4 linked regions of the Notamacropus eugenii genome follow. The protein of the gene in region 3 interacts with the protein of the main gene of each other region in a biochemical or structural test. Links are inferred from orthologs where the notes say so. Each region holds a gene or a part of one and is shown on either strand. Other genes may lie near its edges.

The links.
Region 1: of the proteins of MAPT (region 3) and MAPK3, one has a biochemical effect on the other in vitro, tested with the Homo sapiens proteins (2 studies listed by BioGRID). The link is inferred for Notamacropus eugenii from reciprocal best matches to the Homo sapiens genes MAPT and MAPK3.
Region 2: of the proteins of MAPT (region 3) and CDK2, one has a biochemical effect on the other in vitro, tested with the Homo sapiens proteins (2 studies listed by BioGRID). The link is inferred for Notamacropus eugenii from reciprocal best matches to the Homo sapiens genes MAPT and CDK2.
Region 4: the proteins of MAPT (region 3) and FKBP5 form a complex in vitro, tested with the Homo sapiens proteins (2 studies listed by BioGRID and IntAct, with this or other methods). The link is inferred for Notamacropus eugenii from reciprocal best matches to the Homo sapiens genes MAPT and FKBP5.

Annotation. Positions count from the first base shown.
Region 1 is NC_092872.1:46,778,749-46,786,668, reverse strand, and holds the start of MAPK3 (mitogen-activated protein kinase 3), read right to left. Parts: upstream 3,016-7,920; 5' UTR 2,951-3,015; coding exon 2,778-2,950; intron 1,625-2,777; coding exon 1,442-1,624; intron 321-1,441; coding exon 131-320; intron 1-130.
Region 2 is NC_092874.1:231,163,567-231,170,648, reverse strand, and holds the start of CDK2 (cyclin-dependent kinase 2), read right to left. Parts: upstream 3,015-7,082; 5' UTR 2,819-3,014; coding exon 2,703-2,818; exon of another isoform or gene 2,643-2,702; intron 1,874-2,642; coding exon 1,796-1,873; intron 1,626-1,795; coding exon 1,505-1,625; exon of another isoform or gene 1,500-1,504; intron 863-1,499; coding exon 692-862; intron 1-691. Other genes in the region: melanocyte protein PMEL, read left to right, coding at 5,148-5,247, 6,803-6,841. UniProt on the Homo sapiens protein: Serine/threonine-protein kinase involved in the control of the cell cycle; essential for meiosis, but dispensable for mitosis. Phosphorylates CABLES1, CTNNB1, CDK2AP2, ERCC6, NBN, USP37, p53/TP53, NPM1, CDK7, RB1, BRCA2, MYC, NPAT, EZH2.
Region 3 is NC_092873.1:346,978,883-346,985,711, forward strand, and holds the start of MAPT (microtubule-associated protein tau), read right to left. Parts: upstream 3,022-6,829; 5' UTR 2,894-3,021; intron 1-2,893. UniProt on the Homo sapiens protein: Promotes microtubule assembly and stability, and might be involved in the establishment and maintenance of neuronal polarity.
Region 4 is NC_092873.1:92,735,090-92,742,128, forward strand, and holds the start of FKBP5 (peptidyl-prolyl cis-trans isomerase FKBP5), read right to left. Parts: upstream 3,010-7,039; 5' UTR 2,752-3,009; exon of another isoform or gene 2,663-2,751; intron 2,575-2,662; exon of another isoform or gene 2,508-2,574; intron 2,083-2,507; exon of another isoform or gene 2,012-2,082; 5' UTR 1,919-2,011; exon of another isoform or gene 1,896-1,918; intron 1-1,895. UniProt on the Homo sapiens protein: Immunophilin protein with PPIase and co-chaperone activities. Component of unligated steroid receptors heterocomplexes through interaction with heat-shock protein 90 (HSP90).

The sequences.
Region 1 (7,920 bases), on a different chromosome or scaffold from region 3:
CACCACAGACAGTGATAAGCAGCTTGGAGGCTGTACTTCTTGACACAGAGATTGGACGTACATACAGGGCAAAGTGGGGTGAGGTGGGAGAAGGAAGAGACGTGATGGTCTGCCATCTCTGCCTTCTCACCTTGAGGTCACAAGTGGTGTTAATGAGCAGGTTGGAGGGTTTGAGGTCCCGATGGAGCACATTGGCTGAGTGGATATATTTGAGGCCCCGAAGGATTTGGTACAGGAAGTAGCAGACATGGTCGTTACTCAGCTGCTGGCTCTTGAGCAGCTTATACAAGTCTGTTTCCATCAGGTCCTGAACAATGTAGCTGAGGGAGACATGGAGGAGTTCCCCCCCACTCCAACCAGGAAGTGGGGGAACCGATAGGAAGTAGAGTTAAGGAGAATAACAGACTGATGCTATTGTCAGTAACCCCATCAGGCCAACCAAAGGGCCCCTTCATCTAGTCTTTTTCTGCCATTTTATTTTTGAATGGCCCGGACCCCATCAAACAGTTCTTTTTACAGTATAAATCCATACACATGGGGAATGGTGGGAGGAAAGGGACTGACAGGGTTTCACTTGAAGTTGAGAAGAGGAAAGGGCATTTGGAAGAAAATAAAGGGAGGAAAACTGAAAAAGACAGCAGAGAGGAAAAAGGGCATGATAATACAGTCCAAAATCTGGACAAGGTCCAAGGATCTTCCTGTTGGGGAGGTACCTGGGTGGGGCTTTGAGGGGGAAAGTTCAAGAGAAGATGGCTATAAGCCCCCATCTGTTTGACAGGAGAAAAAGGAGGGGTTGGCAGGAAAACAGGCGATATATAGAAGATTTATGTGGGGCTTCACAGGCTCTGTTGCAGAGACTCACTATCTACAAAATTTTAATTAAACCCTGACTATGGGCAGAGACCTGGCCAAGGTCTCAGAATCTCTAAATATTAAGAGCTGGGAGGAACTTCAGAGATCATCTAGTTCAATATCTCATTTTATAAGAAGAAAGTGAAGCACAAGATGGGATTAAAATCAGGATCTACTAATTTATAGGGGTAGCTAAGTGGCACAGTAGATACAGTGCTAGGTCTGAAGACCCAAGACTCCTCTTCCTGAGTTCAAATATGGCCCCCGATATTTACTAGCTGTGTGACCCTGGACAAGTCACTTGACTCTGTTTGCCTCAGTTCCTCATCTGAAAAATGAGCTAGAGAAGGAAATGGTAAACCACTCCAGTATCTCTGCCAAGAAAATCCCAAAAGGGGTCATGAAGATTTGGACATGACTGAAACATATGAACAAAACTAATTCATAAACCCCTTCGCTTCTCCCTATACCACATTCTCTCTTCTACTGGGGCATGGAGTCGAGAAAGGAACACAAGACAGAGAAGGAAAAAAAAAGCCCCTACAGAGCCTGATCTGGGGTCAGAGTTGAATAAAGGGGTTAAGGATACACATCCCTCATGGCCTCCAGTGTGGGTGCTCGAAGGATGTCACGGATGCCAATGACATTTTCATGATGGCAACGAAGCAGGATCTGAATCTCTCGTAGGGTGCGCTGGCAATATGTCTGGTGCTCAAACGGGCTGATCTTTTTGATGGCTACCCGGGCCTTCCGCACATGGTCAAAGGCAGAGCTGTTGGGGCAGAGGGCAAAGGATCTATCCTGGATCACAGCTGGAGGAGAGCTGTGCCCAGGGGGAAGGAGAAAAAATGCAGACAGAATTGGGGGGGGGGTTGGTTTGGGGGGAGCAGGATAGCCTAGAGATTAAGGGAACATCTGCAGAGCCTAGGCCACTGAGCTCCACCCAGGCCTTGGGGTAGGGGATGGGAAGAGGGAGGGGAGGAGGAGGTGGAGGGAGGATGGGGGGGGGGGGGGGTCAAGGGAGAACTCTGACCAGGCAGTAAACAATGCTGGCTCCTTCCTGCCACTAGTGCCTGAAGCCTCCAGGGAGTGGGCTGGGGACCAGCCAACCCAAGCTCTGACTTCACTCCAGGAAGAAGAGACCACTGACCCTCCTCCTCCCCACCTCTCAACCTAAACTCCAGCTGTTAGGACCCCTAGTATGTCTCTTTCTATTCCTATTACCCAGAAGTCTAAAAGAGGGATGAGGAGGGTAAGGAGAAAATAGGAAATAAAGAGAAAATACGTCAGGAAGTCCTCAAGCCAGGCATCCTAGGAGGAAAGGAGATGGGGCCCAGAAGGAGGGTACCAAAGGGCCACAGGGGTGGTGGTTGAAGAAAGTATACATAAGGAACGAGCGGGGATCTGGGTCTCCAGGAGAGGCCTGTCCCGCAGAGGGGGATGTCTAGAGGGGCGCAGCAGAGACAGGGGCATAGCCATGCACCAGCCCAGCCCCACACCCCAAGTCTGAGGGGAGCTCACACCTCCCCACCCAGATGCCCCTCCCCCCCAGGAACCTGCCCAGGCCCCCTCCCCTTCCTAGGGCCCCCTCCCTCAGCACATCTCCGGAGCCCCGTTCTCTTCCTCTGATCGCTCCCTCTTTTCCCTTTTCCTCCTTCCTCACACCCCTGGACACCCCCTCCTCCCTTAGAACATCCTCGGAGCCCCCTCCTCAACCTCGGAACGTCCCCTCCTTCAGAACATCGCCAGAGGCCCCTCCCCTCCCTAAGAACATCCCCAGAGACCCCTCCCCTTCCTCAGATCGTACCCTGGGCTCCCCTCCCTTCCCCAAGAAAATCCCCGCAGACCCCTCCCCTCCTTAAACACCCCGGGAGCCCCTTCCCCTCTCTCAGGACACCTCCGGAGCCCCCTCCCCCGGCCCGTACCTGACCATGCCGTACGCCCCCTCCCCGATGTACTGCAACTCTGTGTAGCGCGGTCCCACGTCAAACGGCTGGCCCTTCACCATCTCCACCTTGCCCGGGACCCCCGGACCCGACCCGTCAACTCCCCGGGGCTCCCCGCCCCCTCCCCCCTCAGCCGCCACCGCCGCCGCCATCTCCACTCCCCTCCCTCCCCGCGGCTCCGCCCGGGGTCCCGCCTAGGCGCGCGCCGGCCCCGCCCTCCGTGTCGTCACCCCGCCGCGCAGGCCCCGCCCCCGACCGGGCCCCGCCCCCCGGCTCCCGCTGGCTCGCAGCTCCTGGCTCTCGGGCTGGCGGGCTCGGCGCTTGCGCCTGCGCGGCCTGGGCTCCACGCCTCTGCCCGGCCTCCACCGCAGGCCTGGGCCTCCTGGGAGCAGTGTCCGGGGCTTGGCACCCCACCCCCTGCCGGAGGGGCGCGATCCCTCGCCGCTCGGCCTTGGGCAAGCCTGCCTCGCTCTATGTCTTCCGGGCCTCAGTTTCGTTGTCTTTTCCCGGTTGAGGGCCTTGCGGCGAGGCCCTTCCGGGCAGTAAAACTGCGTGGACATCGGTGAAGCGCCTTCACGAGCACGAGTGGAAAGGCCGGGCCGAGAGGGCAGAGGTCCGGGGCTTCACCCACGGCCACATTTAGGCCTCCACCTGGAGAGTTAGGGAAGAGCCCAAGGGGGGTCAGCTTCCCGTCCTGGGCCAGAGGGCCTGGGCAGGTGCCCCAACAGGCTTGGGGTTCAGGTTCCCCTTCTGTAAAACAGCGGCCTAGACCGCGTGGCCCCGAGGCCCGCGTCCGACCCCGACCCTGTGGCCCTCTGCCCCTCCTTGGGAGGACGGCTTTGTTTCATAGATACAAGAGGAGTGGGTATGCCATTGGTCAGTACACATCTGGTAAGCGCCTACTCTGTGCCAGGCACCGGGCAAAATGCTGGAGAAATAAAGAGGCAACGGACAGTGCCTGCCCTCCAGGAGCTCCACGAGGACACGGAAGTGATGCCGCTCTGGAGGGAAGGCACCAGCTGGGAGAGGGGGGACGGACAGACGGAGGAAGTGCCTGCAGCTGGAGGGGAAGGACCTTGTCCCAGAACAGCAGGGGGCAAGTGTGAGGACACTGGAAAGCTCAGAGGGGGCTAGGTGACCTCCACGCAGGGAGGCTTGTGCTTGACCCTGGAGGCCACAGGGAGCTTTTGGGGAGTGGGCTGTGACGTGATCCCGTCTAAGGTTAGACTCCATGCTCTTAGAAATTTCATCACTTTTAATTTACCCCCTGAGCACAGACTGGGCTGAGAAAACTGCATAGAGGATGATAATTTAGGACAGCAAAAACTAAATTTTTTTTAAATCTAGTTCTAAATGGTTATTCAGCCTGGAAATGGACAGAAATCATGAGTTAACCTCATTAGTCAAAAAAAAAAATTAGTCACCAACCTGCCTGCCTTTCCCCCAGTACAGATTAAGTTATTATTTCCACTGATGTCTTGTTCAGTCCTGTCTGGCTTTTTGTGACCCCCATTTGGAGTTGTCTTGGCAAAGATGCTGAAGTGGTTTGCCATTTCCCAGCTCATTTTACAGACGAGGAAACTGAGGCAGACAGGGTTAATTATTGCTCAAGTGTCTGTGGCTGCAATTGAACTCACGTCTTCCTAACTCCAGGCCTAAGGGCTTTATCCACTTTACCACTTAGATTTCCTTTGATACTTGAGATGACTGATTATCCCAGCTCCATTACCAGGGGAGTGTGCACAAAGCAACCCATCTTTTTTTTCTGCATATGTGGATGTTATTCCCAGCTTTCCGTTAATCTTTCCTAGAAGCTCTTTTTGATATACTTGAAGTCTTCCTCTGGTTTATCTATACTTTGCTGCTCCCTGTCACTGAATTTCTTGAAAGGACAAGACAACAGTGTACAATAGGGTAGGGTTATACAAACATATCTGGAGGGCTTCCGTATGATTTTTTTTTCCCCTCGAAAGATCAGGAACAAAATCTTCCTCTTGTGCTAAAGCAGACCTGTGCAAAATGGAGCTTCATGATTCCAGAATCCCTCATAATTTGTTTCTGAATCAGATATACTAATTCACGGTGGTGTGGCTCATATGCTAATTTAATAAACCCCCGAGGAACATGCAACAGGCCTGGCAGGATCTGGGTTTAGCCCTTGCTAATATGATAAGGCTTTTTTTATAAACTAACTTCGTGTAATTACAAGAGACCAGTGACTCAATAAAGTACCAGATAGAGATCTGCTGTGAGCCATGGGTGGAGTGCTAACATAGGGAAGTTAGTTCTATGACAGCTTGTCATATAAGACTGCAATTATTTCACCCCATGCAGTGTTTGTAAAAATCATTTTCTAGTGACTATGAATGATATTTCCTGAAACTAACTCCTATGTTGGAGGCGACTGATTCAGCGTATTAAATCAGCCATAAAATTGGAGCTGGAAAGAATTTTAGAGATTAAGTTAATTTCAACAAACATTGAGCATCTACTCTATATGAAGGTACTGTACTGGGTGCTGGGGTTGCAAAGACAAAAACAGAACAGTTACTGATCTAAATAAACTTAGGTTTAACTGGGTGTATATAACAAATATATGTAAATACAAGGAAGTATTCAGGAAAGTGGGTTGGATCTGGAAGGGTCCTGTAAATATCTACATCAGACCTGAACCTTGAAGGAAACTAAGAATTTTAAAAAGTAAAAATGATTAGGAGGTCTGGAAATACACAGAATCCTTCCAGTCTGTACAAGTGCAGAGCCAAAGGAACAACTACTCCATTTTCTTCTTTCTGCCTCTTCCTCTTTGTCTGTGATCTCTGGGGCATTTGACACTGTTGAAAACCCGAGTCCTGCAAGGCTCAACCCCCCTGGAACAAATCTTTCCCCATCAGAATCATCAATCAGATGGCAGTCAAAACTCAAACTAGTCTGGGGGGGAAGGGAAATGAAACTACGCTCACTAGGAATGTGCTTTATTATGCATTTATGTTCTGAATAAATGGCCTTATTGTTTACACACAGAGAGAGAATCCTCTTCCTTGACATTCCCTTGCCTTCTGTGACACAGCACTCTAGGTTCTACTTTTAACTGTTCCTTCTCTATTTCCTTCCCTGGTTGGTCTTTCTTCTCCCAACTCTTTAACAAAATTATTCTCCAAGGCTTATCTTTGGCCCTTTCCTTTGATTATCTTATCCTCCTCCCAAGACATCAAACCTCTGTACAGGATCCAAATTATTATATACAGATCTGATCATGTCACTCTCCTGTTCAAATTTTTCCATATGTTCCTTTTGCCTGCCAAATATAAGTCAAAATTCCTTAATTTGGCACTCAAGGGCTTCCGTAATCTGGTGTCTTTCCACCTTTCTGGTCTTATATAAGAGTATTCTCTCCACTGTGTACTCTGTACTCCAGCTGAATTGGACTACTTGCCATCCTCTGTACACATCTCATACTTTCCTTTTTTTGAATGATCTCCCCACCTTACCCACATCCAGAAGTAAAGTGGCCATTCCCAGGTCTGACGCTACTGTTGATGACATGGCAGCTTTTGACCTGCTCCATTTTCTGCCTGAGCCAGCTTGCCTCTCCTTAGACAGTGTGGTGAAACACCTTCTTGCATATTAGTGCCAAAGTCAATGAGGACACCTGATCACCTCTAGAGCTATTGCAATATAATTCAAAACATCCAAGCTCAGTCAATCCACCAGCATCAGCCACTTGAGTAATAGGAATTAAGGATGTGTGCCACCATGACCAGCCATGTCATACCTTTATCCATGCCTTTGATTATACAATTCCCAGTTTTGGAAAGTCCTACCTGCTACCTCTGTCTTTTGAAATTCTACCCATCCTTTAAATTCCAGTTGATCTAAATCCTTCATGAGGTGTTCCCTATACCCCTCAATTGAATGTAATAATTTCTTTATAATATGTTTATCAAGTGCATCCTGAGCCCCACCCCTTTCTTTTACAGCTAGTTCTAGGTTCCTGGTACTGTTAGACTAATTAGCAATTTAAACTCACTGTTGATGAGTCCCTAACAATGTTTCTTTTACTGAACTAAACTGGGATGCCTATAGATTCAAAGCAAAGTTATTTAATATGAAAGAATATTAGAATTAAATCAAGTTTTAAACTTTCAGCATTTATCCCCAAATGGCCACTCCTTTTCACAGTAACGTGGATCATATGTCTCCTGAGGAGCACTAGTCTTCTGGTTAACTCTCAGTCTCTTCATTATCACAGGAGGTATATTAGTCTGTCACAGAAGTTATGCTAGGCCCACAGTTCTAGGTCTTCACTCTCAGCTCAGCTCTGGTTTTCTCTCTTTGACTTCTGGTTGCTTCTTTGTGAGACAATCATTATCCCCTGACCTGGTCTCAGGTCTCATTACTCCTGACTGCTGCTGGTCACTTACTCCCGGGAGATCAGGAGAGAAGGATTAGAAAAAGTGTTAGGAAGTTTGTGAAGGAAGTTCAACCTCGGTAGGGCCTTAAAGGAAGGGGGAAATTTCAATCAGTTAAGGGGAAGAGGAATTCCCAATGGACTCAAGGCAAAACGCCTTCCACATCCAGAGAAAGAACTATGGAATTGGATTGCAGAAGGAAGCAGACCATTTTCTCTTGTGTTATGTTTTGTTTTGTTTTGTTTTATGGTTTCTCTCATTCATTTTAATTTTTCTATGTAATACAACTAAGGTGAAAATGTATTTAATAGGAATGTATGTGTAGAATCTATATAAGGTTGCATGGTGTCTCGGGGAGAGTGAAGGGAGAGGGAGGGGAAAAATACAAGATCTATGGAAGTGATTGTAGAAAACTGAAAACAAAATAATTTAAAATTTTAAAAAAGGTGGGAAGAGGAGGGGAAACCATATGTAAAGGTATGTTGCTGGGAACTGGTAAGATGAAGATGGAGAATACAGAGTAGTCCAATTTGACTAGAGTATAAAATATAGGAAGGGAAAGAGCATGAGGTAAGGCTGAAAACTAGGTTGGAATGAGACTGAATATGTATGTTTTGGGAGATAAGCAATAGGGAGTCAGTGATAGTTTATACTCTGTTGAATGGGCAGAAGAGAAGACCTAAACGTTTTCTGAACAGAGGCTTGACAAT
Region 2 (7,082 bases), on a different chromosome or scaffold from region 3:
TATTCTTAGACACTTACTGGCTATGTGACCCTACCTGAGTCATTAACCTTTGTTTGCCTTGGTTTCCTCAAATATAAAATTAAGATATCAGCACCTACCGCTAACAGTTATAGGAGCTTTCTTCCCTCAAATGAGATAATCTATGGTAGCTTCTCCTACTCAAACTCCAGTGGCTCCTCACTGCCTCTGGGATCACATATAATCTCTTCTGTTTTGCTTTTGAAGCCCTTTACACCTAGCTCCAACTTACCTTATTACCTCTAATCTTATTAAAATTATTTCCAGTATTGGCCTTCATGCTATTTTTAACACATGCCATGTGATCTTTGCAATACCTGCCCCCCATGTAGGGCATGCCCTCCTACTCACCCCTCTCAGAATCCTTTGTTTCCCTCATAACTTTACCTAAGTGACAAAAACCTTTCTTGATCTTCCCACCTACTAGTGTCCTTCCCCCTCAGAAAATTACCTCCTATTTATTTTCTATATGTTTCTTTATGTACATGTTATCATCCTGAATAGAATAAACTCCTTGAGGGCAGGGACCATTTCATGTTCGTGTCCCCAGCATAATGCCAAGAAAATAGTAGGTTCTAAGTAAATTTTAGTGACTTAGTAAAGGATATATAATGATTCCTGGGAAGTGCCTATAAGAAGATCATTAGAAGGGAATAAGGAATGGGCCTCTCACCTCATGAGTGTAGGTACGAACAGGTACTCCAAAGGCCCTGGCTAGTCCAAAGTCAGCGAGCTTGATGGAGCCTTCAGCATTGATGAGAAGGTTCTGGGGCTTGAGGTCTCGATGGAGGACTCTGTGAGAGTGGCAGAAGGCTAGACCCTGGAGGAGCTGAAACAGGTAGCTCTGGCAAGAGAGGTATGCAGAAGAAAAAGTAGCATAATAGGATGCAGTTCTCCTTCCTTATAGTACCCTTGTACACACCTGATGTTCAATGAAAGGGGTTTTTTTTTGTTACTGATGCACTAAAGATAGCTTCCTAGGAAGCACCCAAAGCCTGATTCTTCAAATGCAGCCATTGTCCCTCCCAAGAAGGCACTCATAATAATACTTTCATGTCAGAAGATGGGATGAGTAAACTACAGACTTTAAGCTAAATGAGCTGGTCTACCTCCTTTAAAACTCTCCCACCATCTACTTGCACAGTTAATAAGGAGTTGATTCAGGGTAGTTGCAACTTTCTTGGTTCCTCAGTCCAGCCTGGCCTAGCCTAGCCTAGCCTAGCCCAGCCCAGCCCAGCCTGATGACTTAGCCCAGCCCAACACAACCCAGCCCTAATTAATAAACTACAAAATAAGACACAAATGAGATGGGGAGAGAGGAAGGAAAGGAACCTGAATTACCTGTAAAACATTTTGTGTTTTAAACCCATTATTGTAGGTATTTTGCCCTGTTTGCTCTGAACACAAGGAATAATGGGACATATATTCAGGATGTTATTGTAAAAAAGAAGAGAGTCAAAAGCCAGAAGAGGAAGAGGCAAGTTACCTTAATGAGGGGCAAAGGGATGCCTGTGAGTGCAGATGCATCCATGAACTTCTTCAGATCCTGATGCAGAAATTCAAAAACCAGGTAGAGTTTGTTTTCTGTATGGATAACATCCAGCAGCCTATAGAAGAGAGGTCAGGGTGACCAAAAGGAGGGAGGAAAAGGAATCATTGATATGAATATACCAAAAACAGGTTTATATCACTATGAGAAGAGATGGGGGAATCCAGTAGCCCACTCTGGGGGGATGAATATATCAACATATCAGAGCTTCCTCAAAGACATACTTACTTGACAATGTTGGGGTGATTAAGTTCCTTGAGTAGAGAGATCTCTCGAATGGCAGTACTGGGGACGCCCTCTGTCTCACTTGGAGAGGATGGGGGGAGCAGAGATGGGAGTTTAGCAAGAAGGTCACTCCCCACAGCCCAGTCTCCCTAATTAGATCCCAATTGCTAACCAAGGCCCTTGCAAGCATCTCTAAAAAGAAGGTGGGGGAGAGACTAAAGAGAATGCCAACCTACAAACTACTCGTGCCCATACAGGGTGGGGCTCACAGGCCAGGGAGTGGCTTTTGGATACATAAAGGCCACCATTTCCTCCCTCCCACCAGAGTACAATAAGGTGCTAGGAAGTGAGAGGCCTCTATCTAACTCTCTTACACTGTGGGAAACTGAGGCAAGTGAGGGCAATGGGGAAAATGTTTGAGGGGGATGGTCCTAACCTCCCCCCGGTAGGGCCAGTGAAGGTTCAACTGCCATTCTTTTGAAAGAACAGGCAGAATTCTAAGGTAGGGAAGAGGGAGAAGACCTGTTGGCAAGCTGCTTCCCACCAGTTGGGGTCTCTCTGCCACTCTTCTCCCTCTTTACTTCCTACAAAATCCAACTCCATTGGGTCCCACAGGCCATTCTAGAGGGTTTTTCCTTCTCCCTGAATTAATCCCTACACATTTGGGGCATTGTCACACGAAATTTTAGGAAGGGATTTTTCCCATTCTAAGCTTCCTTCAACTTGAGCTGAGAGATCCCTCCCAACCCACCACCCTGGAAGCCACGCTACCCTGTCCCCCCCAAAACCTAGAACCGCACTCCAAAAGAAATTGTCTCTTCATTTTCCGGTCCCGCCGACCCCTCTCTAGGATGGGGACACTCCAGGAACCCTCGAGGTAGTGGGGTCGAGGGTAGAGGGGGCCACTCACGTGTCCAGACGAATTTTCTTGAGCGCTACCACTTCTCCAGTCACCTTGTTCTTCGCCTTATACACCACCCCGTAAGTGCCCTCTCCGATCTTCTCCACCTTTTGGAAATTATCCATGGAGAGCCGGGGAGCGGGGCCGTCACGGCCCAGGTGTGGGAACTTGGGAACGGCTGGGAATCCTGAGAAGAGCAGCTTGGCTCTGGGGACAGAGTTGGAGGGCAGGGGGCCGGCGCGGTGGCCCGAGCCCGGATGGAACGCTGTGTATCCTTTGCCCCTTGTCAGTTTCTTCAACTTGCAACAATGTTGCCGCCTCCCCCCTCCCGCGCCCGGCCTCCTCCAGAAGCCCCGCCCCAGCTTCCCGCGTTTCACTCGCTCCGCCCCCAGAGTGTCTTATTGGTCTACGTCATCACGGAGGTGGGTCTGAGAGCTCTGTCTAGTCCTACTGGCTCCAGTAAAATACTCAGTGTCCCATCTCTTTTCTCCACTCTGCAAATTCTTTACCTAGGTCAACTTTTCTTTCTTGAAAGACCTGAGGAATAGCTATTTCGGTGATGGCTCTTGTCTATGTCCAATAATTATGCACCTATTGTAGATAATCTCCAATTTCCTATAGCCGTGTACCTCTCTTCAATCCATATGCCCTACCCTTTGTATCTTGTCTGCAGAGACTCCCCTAATCTCTTGTCCACGTTTTTTCCACCAATCCTGACCAAAAGAATATAATAATATTTGTCATTTATATAAGTGCTTAAAATTTACAAAATGTTTTTCACCCATACATTGAAGAAGCATGTCTCTGCCACTATTAAACGTACTTTATTTCATTTGATCCCCACAACTGTCAAGTAGATTGTGTTGGTTATTATCTCCATTTTACAGCTGAGAAAACTGAGGCTCAGTTAAGTGACTATTAAGCACCTAATATGTGCCACAGGGCCAGACACTAGACTGTAAATATCAGTAGTAAATATCAGAGGCAAAGAGGACCTAGTAAATATCAGAGGCAAAGTTTGAACTCAAGTCTCTTCTGACTCCAAGTCCAGATTTTTTTTCCATTTTCCTTTCTTCCAAGGGAGTCCCAAATAGAGGAGAATAACCTTGAACAGGAAGAACTATGATTCTGAGTCCAGGAGATATCCAAGGGTGTGCTGGAGTCAGCTTTAAACCAGCTCGCGAGAGTCAGTTGTTAAATTTTCAGTGTGAGAATTTACATTTAAGAAATTAGCAAATGCTACCAATCAGGGCTTGATTAACTATTTTGTTGATTATCTAAACTTAAAAGTATGACATTCATACTTTTTTCAGAGAGCTGATTGTTAAGCATTTACCAGCATACCACTGTATATGACTATATTTCTATTATAATAATAATGGAGGCAGCAAGATAAGTAACTTCCTGTATTTGTAGTCAGAATTTAAATCCCTAAGTTTAAATCCCCTTTGACTTCAGACTTTAAAGCCCTAAATAACTGTGAGTTATTAGAATAATATTACATTAGTACTAGCCTCATAATGAATATTTATATAGCACTCAAAATATACAAAAAGCTTTTCATCCTTGATTTTCCCTGTGATAGTGTAAATATAGTCATAGATGATGTTGATACAATACTTTATACTTTCTCATTTGATCCTTACGACAACATTGTTTGGTAGGTAGTACAAGTGTGATTGTCTCCTTTTTATAGATGACGAATTTGAGGATCAGAGAACCCAGGTGGTTTGTGAAGGGTTATATAGCAAATAAGTGTCTGAGGCAGAACTCTAACATCTTCCCCCCACCCCCACACTACAAATCCAGTGCTCTCTCCACTACCTGTGTCTTTCAGTCTCTTCCTGTTTCTGTCTCACAGGTTCTCATGTAAAGAGGATCTGTCTCCATCTTTTCATGAGGTTCTTGATTTGATGTAACTAACTTTTTGGCTGAATCTCTCATGCTGAATTATTTGTGTAGCTATGGAGGAGGGAGGTGGAGATGGTTGGTGGGATGAAGAGCTCGAGAGAAATTCCTTGATTCTTGCTTGACTCCTGTCTGACTCAGAGATTCTGGCCACCATATAATTAACACTTATCTGAGGGAAAATGGAGCCAAAAAATCTAATCACCTAGTGGGACTCAAAACATCCAGTAGATTTTGAAGTAAGGAAAAGTTTTCAAAGCATTTTCCATACATTCCTGTTTTACTGATGGGAAATTGAGGCTCAGAGAGGTTTTAGTCATACAACCAATAATTGGTTGGAGCAGGAATTTTCAAAAAAGATAACCCACATTTTCTGCTACCTAGTGCAGTGTTCTTTTTCCTCCATCACATCACTGTCAGTTCCATCCACCTCTCTTCAATTCTTCCTTTCTTCTCTGGGAATTTTGAAGGGAGGAGAAGATAGGCAGGGCTATGCAAATTAGTAGTACCCTTTCTTATATAGGAGCTAGCACCAACCTCTGTGCTATGGTTGTTCAACTGACAGAAAGAATGAGACTAGGACAGATGATCTGGTTTTATAATACGGCCATGACCTGTGTCCTGTTGACTACAATAGCTGCTGATAGTGAGTATGAGAATAAATATGGATATGTTGGGAGGATGGGAGGTGATGGGCAGTTTGAGCTGGGACTATCTGCTAAACTTGGCTTCCCTGAAATCTTGAGGATAACAGCTCCGCTAGCAATTCCCCAGGCAACTTTTGACCCCTTTTCCCCCATCTATTGAGAAGGACTTGAACATCTAGAAATGTGGGAAAGTTGAGCTGATGCACCTCTTGAAGAGGGGAGGAATTTTGGAGTGCTTGTTGCTTAAGTTTTAGGACTCCAAAGGGAATGAAATAGATCAAATCAGGGTTTTTGAAGGTGAAATAGACTATCCCTAAAATTGGCAGATGGATTGTTCCTGCCTCTTCTGGTACTTTAGGGGCATAGATGTGAAAGAGGCAGTTCTCCAGAAAAAGAAGGAAAAGTATGAGATCAAAAGATTAAAAAGGAACCTCTTATTTCTTTGGGTGTAAGAAGGGGGCCTATTGTCCTTGCCTGCTATTCTGGGGTTAGGGCAGGGGAGGCATCAGGGTCTCAGCTGAGAATCACATGAAAAGGATCTGCTGAGGGATTGGGATCTCATGACTGGAAAGGGGGGTTGGTCTGGAATATCAGAAGTTACAGTAAGGGAGGAGAGTGGGGAGGAGAAAGGAGAAGGGGAGATCTTATTACTCCTTTTATGCTAACAATGAGATACTCAGTAAGATTATTCTAGGTTCCTTCTCTCAACTTCTAAGTCTCTAAACCCTTTTCTTGCCCCTGTTTTCCCTCTGAATCCTGGAAAGTCAGGAAACCGTATCTCCCCTAACATCAGTTAGTTCTCTAACCCAGCAGTTCTCTGTCTTTTTTTTAGTATAAGGATAAACTTTTAAAAATAACAATATTATTAATATATTTTGGTTTTTGTCACTTAAACTTGCCCCTGTATTCCTCCTCCTTCCAGAGATCCATACTATATAACAAAGAATTTTTTCATGAAAAAAAGAAGAGGAAAAATGAGCATTAACTGACATATATATATATATATAGATATATACATATATGTAAAATCTCACAAAGTATACAATGTTTTGCACCTGTGGACTCCCACATTGCTACAAAGGGGAGGGGGGATGATGTCTTCTCCTATTTCTTCTTTAGTGTCCCGGATAAGAAAGGGTGTTTTCTTACTCCAATATGAATTACAGAGCTATACCAGTGTATGGTGTTTCCAATACCAATGAAACCACAGGTCCAAACAAACAAACTCTAGGGCCATGCTTCGTCTTTATAGTTTTGAAACAATCATTTGTGATTGTTCTTCCCGTTTACATTGTTGTAGTCATTATGTGTATTGTTTTCTTGGCTCTGATTAATTCATCTTGCATTAGTTCACCTAAGTCTTTCCATCCTTCTCTGCATCACTGTGTAGGTTATTTCTTAAGTCACAGCAATATTTCCCATTCCATTGATTACATTTACAACTTATTTAGTCTTTCTCCAGTTGGTAAATACATACTTTGTATCAGTTTTTTGCTACCACAAAGTGTATTGCTAGAAATATTTGGTGAATATGGGGTCTTTCTTTTCTTTCAGTGACCTCTGTAGTAAATAGTGGAATCTCTGGATCAAAGGGTATGAACATTTTGTCTGATAGATTTCTTTCTTCTTCCTTCCTTTCTTTTTTCCTTCCTTTTTTCTTTCTCTCTTTATTCTCCCTTCCTTCTTTCTTTTTAAACATCAGAACCATTTCACAGCTCCCTCACCTGGTAGCAGTTGTACTATTAGTCTCTATTGATTGAAAAAAAATAACAAAAAGCTAATATGAATTCAGTAATATTAAAATTAATTTGTATTTTATAAGTAACAGCATCTA
Region 3 (6,829 bases):
TTAGCCTCTGCTGGAGATGGGAGGGCTAAGTTATTCCAAGAGTGAATGTTCAGATCAATTTAGAAAGTGGACAGTATAATACTTCAGGCCATACTTCCTTCCTATTCTCCACCTCACCAAATCCCTTCCTTAAAAAGGCAGTGTTTATTCTTTCTTAATTTCCTACATGGAAGGGGAAGAATCATGTAGGAGAAGCTGCTGATGTAGATGCTGCATCTGTACTGCTCCCCCCTGGTGGCTGTCTCCCTGATGTCACCCCACCCATCTTTAATGTCACAAGACTGCAAAAGGTCTTGACCTCCTCACTAGTTCTCCTGGAAGGCTGTTTGGGAGGGTGGGGAGAAAGACACTCTAAAAATAAATGCTTGTTCTGAATTAATTTACTGTAAAGATCTGTCCACGATCTATCCCATTACGACCCCAGTCAATGTTCCATGATTGTGGTGAGCTCCTTGGTGGGTGCTGCTCCCAAAGTCAGCAGAACCCACATCTCCAATGAAGTCTCGAGATGCCTCCCCAATTCTTTGCAACTCTATCCCTAAAGAAGGAAATCCTAGAAGCCTGGGGTCCTTCCTACTCAATCTTCTCCCATTTCCATCAATCTCTCCTTGCCCTGATCCTCTTTCAGAAAAAGGCCTGCCGTTTTTCAGCTCAGTTCCTAAGCACTGGTTGTTCATGGGCATCTGGACCAGAAGAGCACTCTCTATCACACAACGCTCGCACCTGCAGGAATGCCTCTGCGCAACACGCGCAAACATGCTAGTTTTCCTCATGGATCTGTCAAACGAGCGGAGCAGGACCCTTTCGGTCTGTGTGTGGATTAACATGCAGAGGGTGTGTGCACGCGCGCGCTCATGGATGTGTACGCGCGCGCGCGCCGCGAGGCGTGGTGGCCACGGGATAGTGCCCCGGCCCGGGAATGAACTAGCGGGACTGTGCGCCAGGGCGCGTGCGGGTATGGGAGCTCCTGGCACCGAAGGAACGACGCAGACAGGCAATTCCCGCAAGGCACAGGGATGGTTTTTGTTTGTTTGTTTCGTCATTTTCTCCAACCCTAAGCAGCCTCCCTGAGGGTGAGGGAGCACCTGTGAGCCTACCCTAACCAGCCTGGGTGGTCCACTTTAGCCTCTGCGCGTGCCCGGTCCTAAAAGGGGCGTAGTCCCGGCCGCGCGGCGGCCAGCAGAGCCTTTGCTGTTCCCATACACTGTGGGAAAAGAAAACCCTCCCTGGGAATTTGGAGACGCGTTCTCAGAAAAGCCCGGAAACAGCGAAAAGAAGCGTCTATTGTATCCCTGCCATCGCCGCTGTCACGTTGGTTCCTCGGTTATTAAGGGGGAAAATCGATTCGACAAAAGCCTGCTGATTCTAGTGGCACCTTCTCGGGACTAGGTGGGGTGGCGATGCTCGGGGTAGACACCACACTTCTCAATCAAACGAAATTTTAAAACCATAGCGGGGAAACACGAACCATTTAACAGGGAGACACAAAGCGGCACTCTCCCCAGCGCACGTTCCCTAAGGTCATTCTGCGGTAGCAAAATGTAAAGCTTTCACAGCAGATTTCCCCCGTCTTGCTTTTAACCATATCACCACATGCCATCCTGTTCTCTACAGGGTATATGCCAAGGATATCACAACGGCATTTATAAGGACATGTCAGACTGCAAAATATGGCACCACCGATTTGAAAAAGAGAGAAGAGGGAGAAAGCCCATCCTTTCCCCCCTCCCTCCTCCCTCTCCTCCCTTCCCCCCTCCCTCCAGATACACACCTACTGCAGCATCCAGAGGCAAGCCCTCACCGCCATCACGGCCACGGCGTAAGGGCCGGCTACAGAACGGACAGCGCTACCCGCTGCGGGTAAGAGAGGAACGAGAACCCGGGAAAGGAAGAGAAAGAAACCCGTCCTCTGAAAATGCACCTTGCAGCCCGCAGCCCTGAGTGCGGCAACTGACGTCTGCAAAAAAGCAGCTCGATTTTCCGAGTGACCAAGGCGGGGACGCAGCCGCGGTGCTGGACACGCACACACACACACACACACACACACACACACACACACACGCACACACCCTGATTTTGGGGGGGGGAGGGAGTGAAACAGAAAAAAAAAACCTTCCCCCCTCAAGAAACGTCAACCTCACCATTCATCTGCTTTTTGATTTTTAGTTTTGGACACAGGGAGAATAGGAATTGAGGATAAACTTGCATCCATCCATCCATCCATCCATCCATCCATCCAGAGACCCCTCCCAGTTAGGCGAATCCACTCCACCTTAGCCAACATGTCCCCTGAATTCTGGGAAAGAAAGCCGGGTTGGGGGTGGGGACCCTAGTAAGCCTTTCCCCCGAAGCCCACTTCGGGGTGGGGAGGCATCTGGTGAAAAATCCACCCCACGCCCTCCTGAGCGCGGTACGCAAAACGGGAAATCGGAGGCAGGTTCCTGGGAGACTGGAAATTTCTTCTCCCTCATCCTCACCCCAGGGCCCCACCCCCTCCTGGTCGTTGGCATCGGAAAAGATGCCCCTCGCCCTACTGCGGCAAGTGGTATGGGGGAGGGGAATGGCAAGTCCCCCTCCCTTTTTTCCTCCGAGGTCACCGCAACCGGCGCCCCACCCTGTGCATTCAACACCTCGCTCTCCAGGTTCACGCAAAGGCTTGGACGCCGTAACTCCTTTTTTCCTTTCTCCACACACGCTTCCCTTTGTGGATCGCCAGAGGAACCCTGCCATTCTCCCCTACGCGGGTGCGCAGCCTGCGGCCGTGGGGTGGGGGTCAGAGCGCTAGGTAAAGGCATCCCTCCCTGCCCGCCGGGCGCTCAGCCATCCAGCCCGAGGAGGGGGCGCAGAGGCGCACTGGGGGCTGGGGAGCAGCTGGCCGAAGCCCCGCGCTTACCTGCTCGGCCGGTGCGAGGGGAGTGCGGAGCGCGGAAAAGGTGGCGGCGGTGGCGGACGCGGTGGTGCTGGGTGGCGGTGGCAGGTGGGCGGAGGTGGGCAGCAGCGGGCGAGAGCGGGCGCGCGCAGCCGAGGAGCAGAGAGCGCGACCACGGCGCCTCCCCGCGAACGGAGTAACTCAGCAGCAGCAGCGGCAGCAGCAGCAGGAGCAGCAGCAGCAGCAGCAGCGGCAGCGGCAGCAGGAGGGCGGGGGCGGGGGCCCAGAGCAGGCAGCAAGTGGAGAGCCGCAGAGCCAGCGCAAGCGCGACTCCCCGCCTCAAGGGCCCTCCCTTCTCCTCCGGCCGCCAGAGGGAGCCCTCAAGCGGCCGGGAGCCCCGCCCTCGGGTCACGCCGTTGCCCCTGCCGCCAGTCTTCTTTCCTTTCCCTGCCGTGGTTCTCTCTTTCCCTCTTCCCCACCCTGGGAATCTCAGCCCCAACCCTTCCCTCACCCACCCCAGCGCCTGGGTTTCCCAGCACGGACAGGCGCGCGCGCTCGCGCCCGGCGCATGCGCACGCACCTCTCTCCCACCCCATACACAGACCCCCTTCTTCTCTCAGCCTGGGGCCTTTGTCTCGTCAGAGAGACCCGGGGGCTTTTCCCTGGGGGGAGGGGGGCACAGGCCGGGCAGCCGGCTCTGACTTAGCCCTGACACCCCCAGAGTCACAGAAGCACTGGCGAGGGCGGTCCCCGGGACAGAGAGGACCCCCTCCCCCCATCCCCTCTGCAGCCCCGGGGTCACACCCAGAGTCGTCGTCACAGCGTGGTGGGGGTAGCGCCGAGGCGGACTTGGGGGTCATTTTGTCCACCCCCACCCCACCCCGTGACGAAGCCCAGGAGGTTAAGGGTGGGCCCGAGGTCACACAGCAGCGCATCTACGCGTACCTGCGCAGGTCTGCTCACCGCCCCCACCTGTAAAGCCACCCATTCCCGCCAGCTTGCGCCCCTGCTTGTCTCCCTTTGGGCCCCTTGGCAAAGGCGTCTCCCTACGAGCGATGCCCTCATGCCCTTTTTCCTCCCTCCCTTCTTAGCCGGGATTTGGACCCAGGCGCTCGGGCTGGGTGCCCACCCTGGGGTGCATCCTCTTCCACTCGTCTCCCTTGCGCCCCCAGATCACACGGTCGTTTCGGACCTCTCTGGGACAACTGGTTGGCACAGTGGACAGAGCATCGCATAGAGTAAGGACGACGGGTTCAGCCTTGGCCTTTTTATAGCTGGCAACTAATTCATATAACCTCTGCGTGCCCCAGTGTGCCCATCTGTAAAACAGGGATCATTCTAGTACTTTCTTCCCAGAATTGCTATGAAGATAAAACGAGATACTATTTGTAGAGTGCTTGGCAAACTTATTTTTTTTTTTATTCTTGGGCTCAAAGATCACTGAAGTTGAAGACTGAGGCCATGAAATTAAAAGACCTTTGCTCCTTGGAAGAAAAAGCTATGACAACTCTGGACAGCATGCTCAAAAGCAGAGATATCTCCTTTCCTACAAAGGTCCAAGATAGTCAAAGCTCAGGTTTTTCCAGTAACGATCTATGGCTGTGAGAGTTGGACTATAAAGAAAGCTGAGTTCTGTAGAATTGAGGTTTTTCCATTGTGGTGCTGGAGAAGACGTTTGAGAGTCCCTTGACAACAAGAAGGTCAAATCAGTTAATGTTTAAAGAAATTAATCCAGGTTATTACTGGACAGTCAAACACTGCAGCTGAAGCTTAAATACTGTGGCCATATAATGAGAAGATGGCACTTATTAGAAAAGACCCTGATGTGAGGAAAGATTGAAGGCAAAAGGAGGAGGGAATGACAGAGGATGAGAGAGAAAGATAGTGTCATGGGAACAAGAAACACAAACTTGGACAGACTTCAAGAGATAGTAGAGGATAGTAGAGGCATGCTATATTGTCCAGGGGATCATAGAGAGTAAGACACAACTGTATGGCTGTACAACAACAAATTGCAAACCTTAAAGTGATATATAAATGCTAAGTTATAAATAGGAGTATTTGTTGTTAACATCAGAGAGCCCCTCCCTCCTTCCATTTTCCTTTCCTACACTTCCTTGATTAGGGAGATTCATATTTATTTTCTCAATACCCAGTATTTCTTAAGCAGGACAGTTTTGGAAGGCTGCAATTCATTGGAGCTGAAAGAACTGGAGATTGGAGGAGTTTCAGATCTAGGGGAGAGTTAGGGTGATACACTGGAAAGCATGCTGTCTGGAGTCAAAGGTCCTGGATTCCAGTCCTGATTCTGCTATTTCTACCTGTGTGGTCTCCATGTCACTTAACATCTGTGGGCTTCAGTTTCCCCATGTGTAAAATAAGAGAGAGGATCTCTTCCAGCTTGATATCTATGATTCTGTGGGTTGACTACTCTACTCTGTGACCTTGGACAACTAGAAGGCCAGCAGGGTGTAGTGGACTGAGTGCTGGACTTGGGTTCCATTATGACCTATGTTATGAACAAACTATGTGACCTTGGACAAGTTATTTACCCTCCCTACCCTCAGTTTCCTCTTCTGTAAATTAGGGTTTGGACTAGATTGACCTCTAAGGTCAGTGGAGCAAGGCAATCATTGTGACTCACTATCCCACTCACCACAGCAACTTTTATAAACATTTCCTCTCTCAACAGATTTTTTCCTCTGTCCTCTCAACTGAGATTCTTTCTCCATATTCCACAAGAAATAATGTCAGACATTTGCTTCTTCTCTTTTCTTCCTCACCTCAAATCACTCAGATCCGTTCTGCAATTGTCTCCTCTTTTACCCCTGTCTAACATAATGAAGCAACCCTTGTTCAAAGGCAAACAACTCTACATATACAAGGATTCCATTCCATCTTCTCCAGCAGGTCACTCCCCTTTGTCATCCCTCTGTCATCCCTATTCTCTCACTAATCTTCAGTCTCTTATTGTCTGTTGGCTGCTTTTTTACTGCTTACCAACATGCCATGTCTCCCCAAACCTCAAAAAACTCTCACTTGATCAATCCCTTCCAACTATCTATCTATGAGTACCTTTTTGTGGCTAAACGACTTGAGCAATTCATTTACTGCCAGTGCTTCCACTCCTGTTTTTCTCATTTTCTTCTTAATTCTCTGTACCCTGATTTCTGATCTTATTGTTCAGTTGAACTTGCTCTCTCCATTTACTAACAATCTATTCTTAATCACCAAATCTAATGACCTTTTACTTGGCCTTTTTGCAGCCTTTGACCCTATTGAACAGCCTCTTCCTGATACTTTTCTTCTCTGTAGATTTTTGTGATTCTATGCTCCTGGTTCTCCTCCAATCTGTCTGACTCAGTACTCAGTGTCCTGTCCTAGAGCTTCGTCCAGGTCATGCTTGCTACACATAGATGTCCCCCAAGGCTCTGACTGGGGCACTCATTTATTCTCCCTCATACTATTTCATTCGATGATCTCATCAGCTCCCTTGGATTCAGTTACATCTTTATGCAGATCATTTTCAGATCTATCCTCCAGCCCCAACCTATCTCCTGACCTCCAGTCTTGCATCTCCAACGTCATGGAAATCAACTGGATGTCCTATAAATATCTTAAGTTCAACCTATCTAAACCTGAACTTATTTTCTTTCTTCCCAAACTCTTCCCTCTTCCTAACTTCCCAATTATTGTTGTCAAGAGTATCCCCATCCTCCAAGTCCCCCAGACTTGCAACTTAGGTATTATCCTCAATTTCTCAATCTCTCTTACCCTTTATAGTCAATAAATTGCCAAGTCCTGTCTTTTCTATTTGTAATATCTCTCCTTTTAGTCAGTCTTGCATCTCCAACGTCATGGAAATCAACTGGATGTCCTATAAATATCTTAAGTTCAACCTATCTAAACCTGAACTTATTTTCTTTCTTCCCAAACTCTTCCCTCTTCCTAACTTCCCAA
Region 4 (7,039 bases), about 250 Mb from region 3:
ATAACTAAGATAGAGGAAAAAATTCAAATAAAGATATTCTCAGACTTTTTTTAATGACTGATTTTTCTAGGTAAAAGAACAGAATCAGAACAGAGAAGCTTAGTGTTTAAATAAGAGAAACTTGGAAAAGAATATTTATTTGTAATAATTGTCCACAAGGATCCTTCAAATACTCTATTAAAACTATCTCATTACTTTATTAAATGGCCACTTTAAGTTCAGGGGGAAAAATTAAATCCTCATTCAAATGTATGATATCTTATAATTTAAACTAAAAAAGATTAAAATTAAAAACTACTTTCAAAAGCATGCTTTCTAGAACTGAAACTTACAGCTGAGCTATAAAGAACATATACTATATCAAACAAGGCATTTTTAAAGAAATATGAATACATCCAGTTCTTCTTGATAAGTAATTTAAACAAAATCCACCCTACTACATATCAAAGATTTTTTAACCTCTTACTATTTCCATGTATAAATTTAATTTTTCATACATACATGCATACATATGATATACTATACTGTTGAACATGAAAAAATAACAGACTGCAGATTGGAAACAGTAACTTGTTTCTCATTGATATACTATCACTTCCTAGATACTTTGTGCTCCACTCCCTTCTGTGCCTTACCACTCTTGAACAACTACACTGGTTTCTTTGTAATAATCCAAATCAAAAGGTTTTTTAAAAAGTCTAAATAATATATTATTTCAAGAACTACTTTTTGAAAGCCAACCAAAAGAATAATTCTTCTTGTAGGTCTTTCCTCAAAGAAGCAAAGAAGGCTATTCAGATTGGGGGGGGGGGGGTACTTCAACGCTAATAATCTGAACAATATGAAAACTCAAAACTGAGAAAGAAATCCAAAGTTCAGCTGAAAAACATGAAACAATTCACCTAGAAGCTAAATACCTTCTATTATGCTACAATCACAAAGTATACACAAAAACTTGTCACAAACACAAAGTAATTTCCCACAGTATTTCCTCCTTAAGTAAATCTTCAAGTAATAACATGATTTAGTTACTACCATTCTCTTAAGAAAGGCTATTTTACAGTCTTAAGGAGACCTCCCAACTAAATGTTTTCTCATCTCTATGCTAAAATGTTCCCTGATCAGATCTACTTGCACAGGGCAGAACCAGAATCTTGACCTACACTTAAGAATACCTTGACTTTTAGTCCTGTGGATGGTTTTCCAAAAATTGTATCATACTACACTTCACCCAGGGTACTAAAAGACTAAATTGTCATTAAATTAAATTACAATTAGGTTATTTGTACAGTTATATTTCAAATTCTCTAACATCAGAACATCTTTAAGTGGTATGTTTGAGGATTAAAACTATCTTTAAACTACTACTTTAATACAGTAGAATCAGAGTAGTCATGACATTTCCTCTATTACAAAGTGAAAACTTCTCTCACATACCATTAAAAATCATGAGTGCAGTATTTTTCAACATCATTTTAGCAGGTAAACAGCACTGTTTTTTCCACCTAACTATAACATGGTGGTGGTAGATTTTACTCCAAGACAGGTGAAATAATAATTAAGAAGGCTACACTGTATACCTCACATTCTATGGAAATTCTAAACCAAAAGAGATCCTTGGGAAGGCTCGGGAGACAAAAGACAGACAAGGAGCAGATGCAGGACTAACAAGTAATAGCCCAAAGCTCTGGCTAACTTCAAGAAAATTAGTTTTGAACACTGACACAGCCCAAAAAATCAACGAAGGTGAGGACATCCAAAGTCGTAGTCGTAAACTAGTACCAACATACTTCTCCTTTCCAGGCTACAGTTCCCAACTTTGTCTCTCGAGGGCAATTAAACAGGAAAAGTGGGGCTTTTCTTTTCCTGCTACGGGAAAATAGAAAAACTCTTACACTCGAACTTCACACACGGTTACCTCTTGGAGTTCCGATCTGATAAGATCCTTCCCCCAGCCTCTGACTGAACAGACAACAGCACTGGACATTGGTCATCCAGATGAGGCAAATTCCTGCAACGGGTGGAAGAGAAGAAAGACACGCTTGGAATCGTGATCCGTCAGGAACCGAAGGAGAGAAAAAACTAAAGGGCAGAAAAAATAAAAGGCCAGAGCAACCTGTCATTTGCTTCTCTTGGGGGAAAAAAATAGGGGTGCAGGGGGAGGGGGAAGAAGCAGTGAGAAGAAAAGGATAAAAGAATCCCCTCCTGGTGTGTTAAATTCTCTCCCCCCCCCCCCCAAAATAACCACCTTTGGGAAGATAAGCCGGGGAGCAAATTTTACGGACAAGGAGGTGCAGGGATGGGGGTCTGCGGAGGACACGCTCCGAAAGCTTCCCAAGCTGCTGGGCAGTCAGGGGTCTCCCGGGAGGGATGGGTCCCTGGCTCCTCCAGCCCTCCAGGGTCACCGAGGCACGAGGCGCAGGGAGGACACGCGCGCGTACACATACATACATATGTATATACATATATACACATATATATACACACTTCTCCATACACACACTCACACGAGGTAGGAAGAGCTCACAGGCGGCGCGCCCAGCTCACCTCACCTCACCGTCCCTACCCCACACTACACAACTCGCTTCTCTCCCCAGGGGTTACCAGGGGAAAGGCGGGATGGGGTGGGAGGGGGAAGGGAATAAGGGGGGGGTGCCCGGACCTGATCCCGATCCCAAGCCTCCGCCGGGCTGCCGCCTCCTCCTCCTCCCTCAGGCCCCATCCCCACGGTCTCGGCCCCCGCCGCGCTACCTGCCGCTGCGCTCGTTCTTTCTGGCTAGCCCGCTCGCCCCCGTACCCAACCGCTAGCCCGCGCGCCGGTGCGCCGCCGCCGTTGACTGGCAGAGCCCAAGAGCCGGCCGGAGTCCCCCAGCCCTCCCACTCCTCCACCCACTCTCCCCGCTCCACACTCACACACACACACATACACACACTCACACACACTGGGCGGCACGGAGCGCTTCCCCGCCCCCGCCGGCCGCAGGACCGGCCTCCGATAGGTCCCCTAAACTGTCGGTCTCCTTCCGAAAGGCGCGCGGGCCACCGCCCCGCCTCTTCCGATTGGCCGCCCGCGCGCGGCCCATGCAAATGAGGTTCCGCCTCCACTCCCTCTCGACTAGTACTCCTTCACTCCCCCTCCCACCCCGAAGTCTCCCCTTGCCCAAGCCCCAGCGGCCCACGTGTCTTCTCTGTACCGGACTCCATCGCCACCCCCACGAGCCTAGGGAGGATTCCAGAGCCCTCGGACGCCCCCGTACCCACCCGGTAATCTTTCTGGGGGGACTCTGCTCCAAACCGCTTACTCTGTCCTACTCCTTTAGGACAGTCCTGCCAACCCCCCCTCGATCTGACCTACGAGAGCTGCCCTGCAGATGGAAGGGGTGGCTTAGGCTTGAAAGGAGTGGCTCCGTCCCTAGCAGACTGCCTGGACATACTAAGCTCGGGAGCCCACCCTGGAAAGTCAAAGATGCCCAGCTGAGGACGGAGAAGTCCTCAGCCTCCTGGACCCAGGCCAGTGGGGGCTTAGTACATATTGGGTTAAGGGAAGTACCTTCTTCTCGAATGACTGTCAGGAACTTTCCTTCCTCATCAGCTCCCTGATATCCATTCAATACAGTTCACATGTATAAAAATGTTTTAGCGGTGGCTACCTGCTTTCCTCGTAACAATCCTGTGAGGGGAGTAGGAGAATGGATTAGTCCTAGCTACATTTGGGGAAATTGAAGCTCAGCGATATTAAGTTGTTTACCCAAACAAAGTCAAACAGCAAATGGCAGCGAAGTTAGTGAATAGCACTCAAGGCCGTTATCTTCGGACCCTGGAAAAGATCAGTGCTTTTTCCTACCACAGCCTGTCAATCAAACAACAAGTATTTATTAAGCAGCTGTCACATGCAAGAGAGAGTACAAGCCTGGAAGGGACTCAAGTAAGAAACCAGGAAGATCTTTGCTCTCCAGGAACTTCCCACTTTGCCTCTCAGTAACTGCCACAAAAACTTTCACATTAGAATTAGGAAAGAATTAGGTTTCTCCGGAGTAGGAAGATAGGAACTGAGGGAGCACAAGATTAAAGTCCATAAAATCACATGAAGTTGTTCAGATGCCCACATCTAAAGATTAAAAGCTTGAAAGAGATCGGGTTAGTCACTAAAAGGAAGTCCTGCTTTACAAAATGGATTGTAAATTTGGGGAGCTGATCTTTCTAAGACAATGATACAGGCTGAAAATGCGAAAAAGTTTTCAGTTTAATATACAAACCATTGAGAATTGGCTTTGTAAGCAGCAGCACTAAGTGTTCAAAGCTGGAATAAGATAGTCTAGGGAACAGAAACTAAATCTCTTGATTCTCCTACTTCTATACAGATTCTACTACATCTCAGCCAAATAAAGGAGTTTATAATTAAGCAGGGGAGATAAAACAACATTTATATCAATAAATATAATAGTGAATTGTGATCAATTAATAAAAGAGGCATGTACTGAGGGCTTTATGAGGAAAGTAAAAGAATTATATTAAATTGTGAGCTCCTTTAGGGCAGGGACTGTCTTTTGGTATCTTCAGTGCTCAAAGCCCAGAATGAAGTATGGGCTTAATAAATGTTTATTGATTATTGATTACTTATTTTGTTCAGTTCTGTTCAACTCTTTGTGACCCCACTTGAGGTTTTCTTGGCACAGATACTGGGGTGGTTTGCCATTTCCTTCTCCAGCTCCTTTTACAGATGAGCAAAGAGGCAAACAGAGTTAAGGGACTTGCCCAGGATCACAAAGCTAGTAAATGTCTGAGGCCAAATTTAAACTCAGAAAAATGACTCTTTCTCACTCCAGGCCAGGCAGTTTATTCACTTTTCCACCAAAGGACATTTTGGTAAGGATTTATGGAGGAAAATCATATTTGAGCTGAAGATAAGGTTTAAAAAGGATTCTGCCCAAGATGTTGGGCACAAACAAAGGAACAGATATGGACACCCCCCTAGTTCACCACCTAGTTCACCTTATTCACCTCTCACCTGGTCTATTGCTTTCCTTGCAAATTACTCCCAGAGCCCCAGACTCTCTTGTTTCCAATCCATCCTCCACCTAGCTGTCAAACATATTTCTAAAACACAAATGTGACCTTTTCACTCTCTGATCAAGAAACTCCAGTGGTTCCCTGTTCCATTTAGGATAAAATGCAAGCACCTTTGACATTTATTTAAAAGTCTTCACAACCTGGTTCCAGCTTAATTTTCCAAGTTTATTGCCCCTTACTGCCCTTCACATACTCCATGGTCCAGTAAAAATGACTATCAGTCTATGTGTTTTTCCTTGGTTGACCCCCATACCTAGAATGGATTTTCTCCTTAACCTTCCTTTCTGAGATTTCCAAGCTTCCTTCACAACTCCCCTCAGGTTCCTTCTCCTCCAAGAGGCCTGTTGCCCTAGTTACTGGTGTTCTCCCCATTCCCAAATTACTTTCTATATACTTTGTACATATTTTGCTATATCAATATATACATATTGATCACAGAATCAGTTTAGTGATACAGAGAACCTTACAGGTCATGTAGTCCAAGCTGTTCATTTTCAGATGAGAAAACTGAGAAACAATTTTCTTGAGGGTAGAGACTGTCTTTGTATCCATAGCATCTGGCACAGAGCCAAGTATATAATGTCAGGCACTTGATAAATGCTTGTTGAGTGAATTAGTTAATTGATGGGACTGATGTAGTAGCCACTTTGGCTCTTGAGTAGGGGCCATGAAAAGGAGTATTGAAAAGGCTGGAAAGATAGATTGTGGGTGGTCTTACAAGCCAAATACTGGGGGTTAGATTTAATTCCATAGACAATGGGGAACTCCTGAAGATTTCTGAGTAGAGTGCTTTTGTCACGACAGTCCTGGGAAGTAGGGAGGATAGTGTGAGCATTATTGCCCTCATTTTATAGATGAGGAAACTGAGAGTCACTGAGGTTTGATGACCAACCCAGAGTCGCACAGGTCATAAGAATATGCTAATGAAGGTCAAGGAGGAATCTTGAGCTTGGATCCTAAACATGTGTACACATAAATATAATACAAAATAAAGTCTGCATGACCACTTCTTGGGGGTGTTATAAAAACAATATCTGTGTTGGGCAGTGGTTTACACTCAATTTTTATAAGAACCCTTCCATTTTTAAAGATCATATTAGACGATCTCAGAGTTGCCGCTGGAAGAAAGATGAGGAAGGATACAGGATTATCAATCATATGATCCTGAGTCTAGAGCTGGAAGGGACCTTAGAAGCCACCCAATTCAGCCAGTATATTTTACAGATCAGAACCTGGAGACTCAGAAGGTAAGTGACTTATCCAAGGTCACTCAAGTATAAGTGGCAGAAGTGAGATTTGAAACTGGATCCTCTGAGTCCAAATCTGTTATACCTAATGTGGTATAAATTTGGAATCAGAAGAATTGAGTTCAAATATTGCCTCTACTACTTGCTACCTGTGTAATCTTGGGATTATCACTTTAAACTCTCTGGACCCTCACTTCCTTAACTTTAAAATGGGGGTATTGGCTGTATATCCTCTAAGGCCCCTTCCAGCTCTAAATCTTATGAATAATTTATGAATGGTGTACAGTATGAACTACAGTGGAGAAAACCTAGAGGCAAAGAAAACCAGGAGTCTGAAAAAGGAAGAAAGAAGGCATGGTCTAGGGTGGTGTCAATGAAAAAGAGGGCACAGATTGGGAAGGATGCAACATGTAGAAAGACCAGATAGGACTTGGTAACTGCATGGATGAAAAGTAGAGAGAGAGGAAGACAAGAATGACACATCTTTCAAGTCTTAGTGACTAGTGAAAAAAAAAGAAAGGTGGTACTGCTGACAGGAGCAGAGAAGTTAAGAATTTCATTTAATTTATTTTATTTAATTAATTTCATTTCATTTCATTTCATGCATTCACTTATTAATATATTCCAGGCACTGTGCTAGGCACAGGAAATATAAAGGCAAACGAGAACAATTCTTGACCTTAAGTTGCTTTATACTCTAATGGGGAGGAGGAATACAAAAC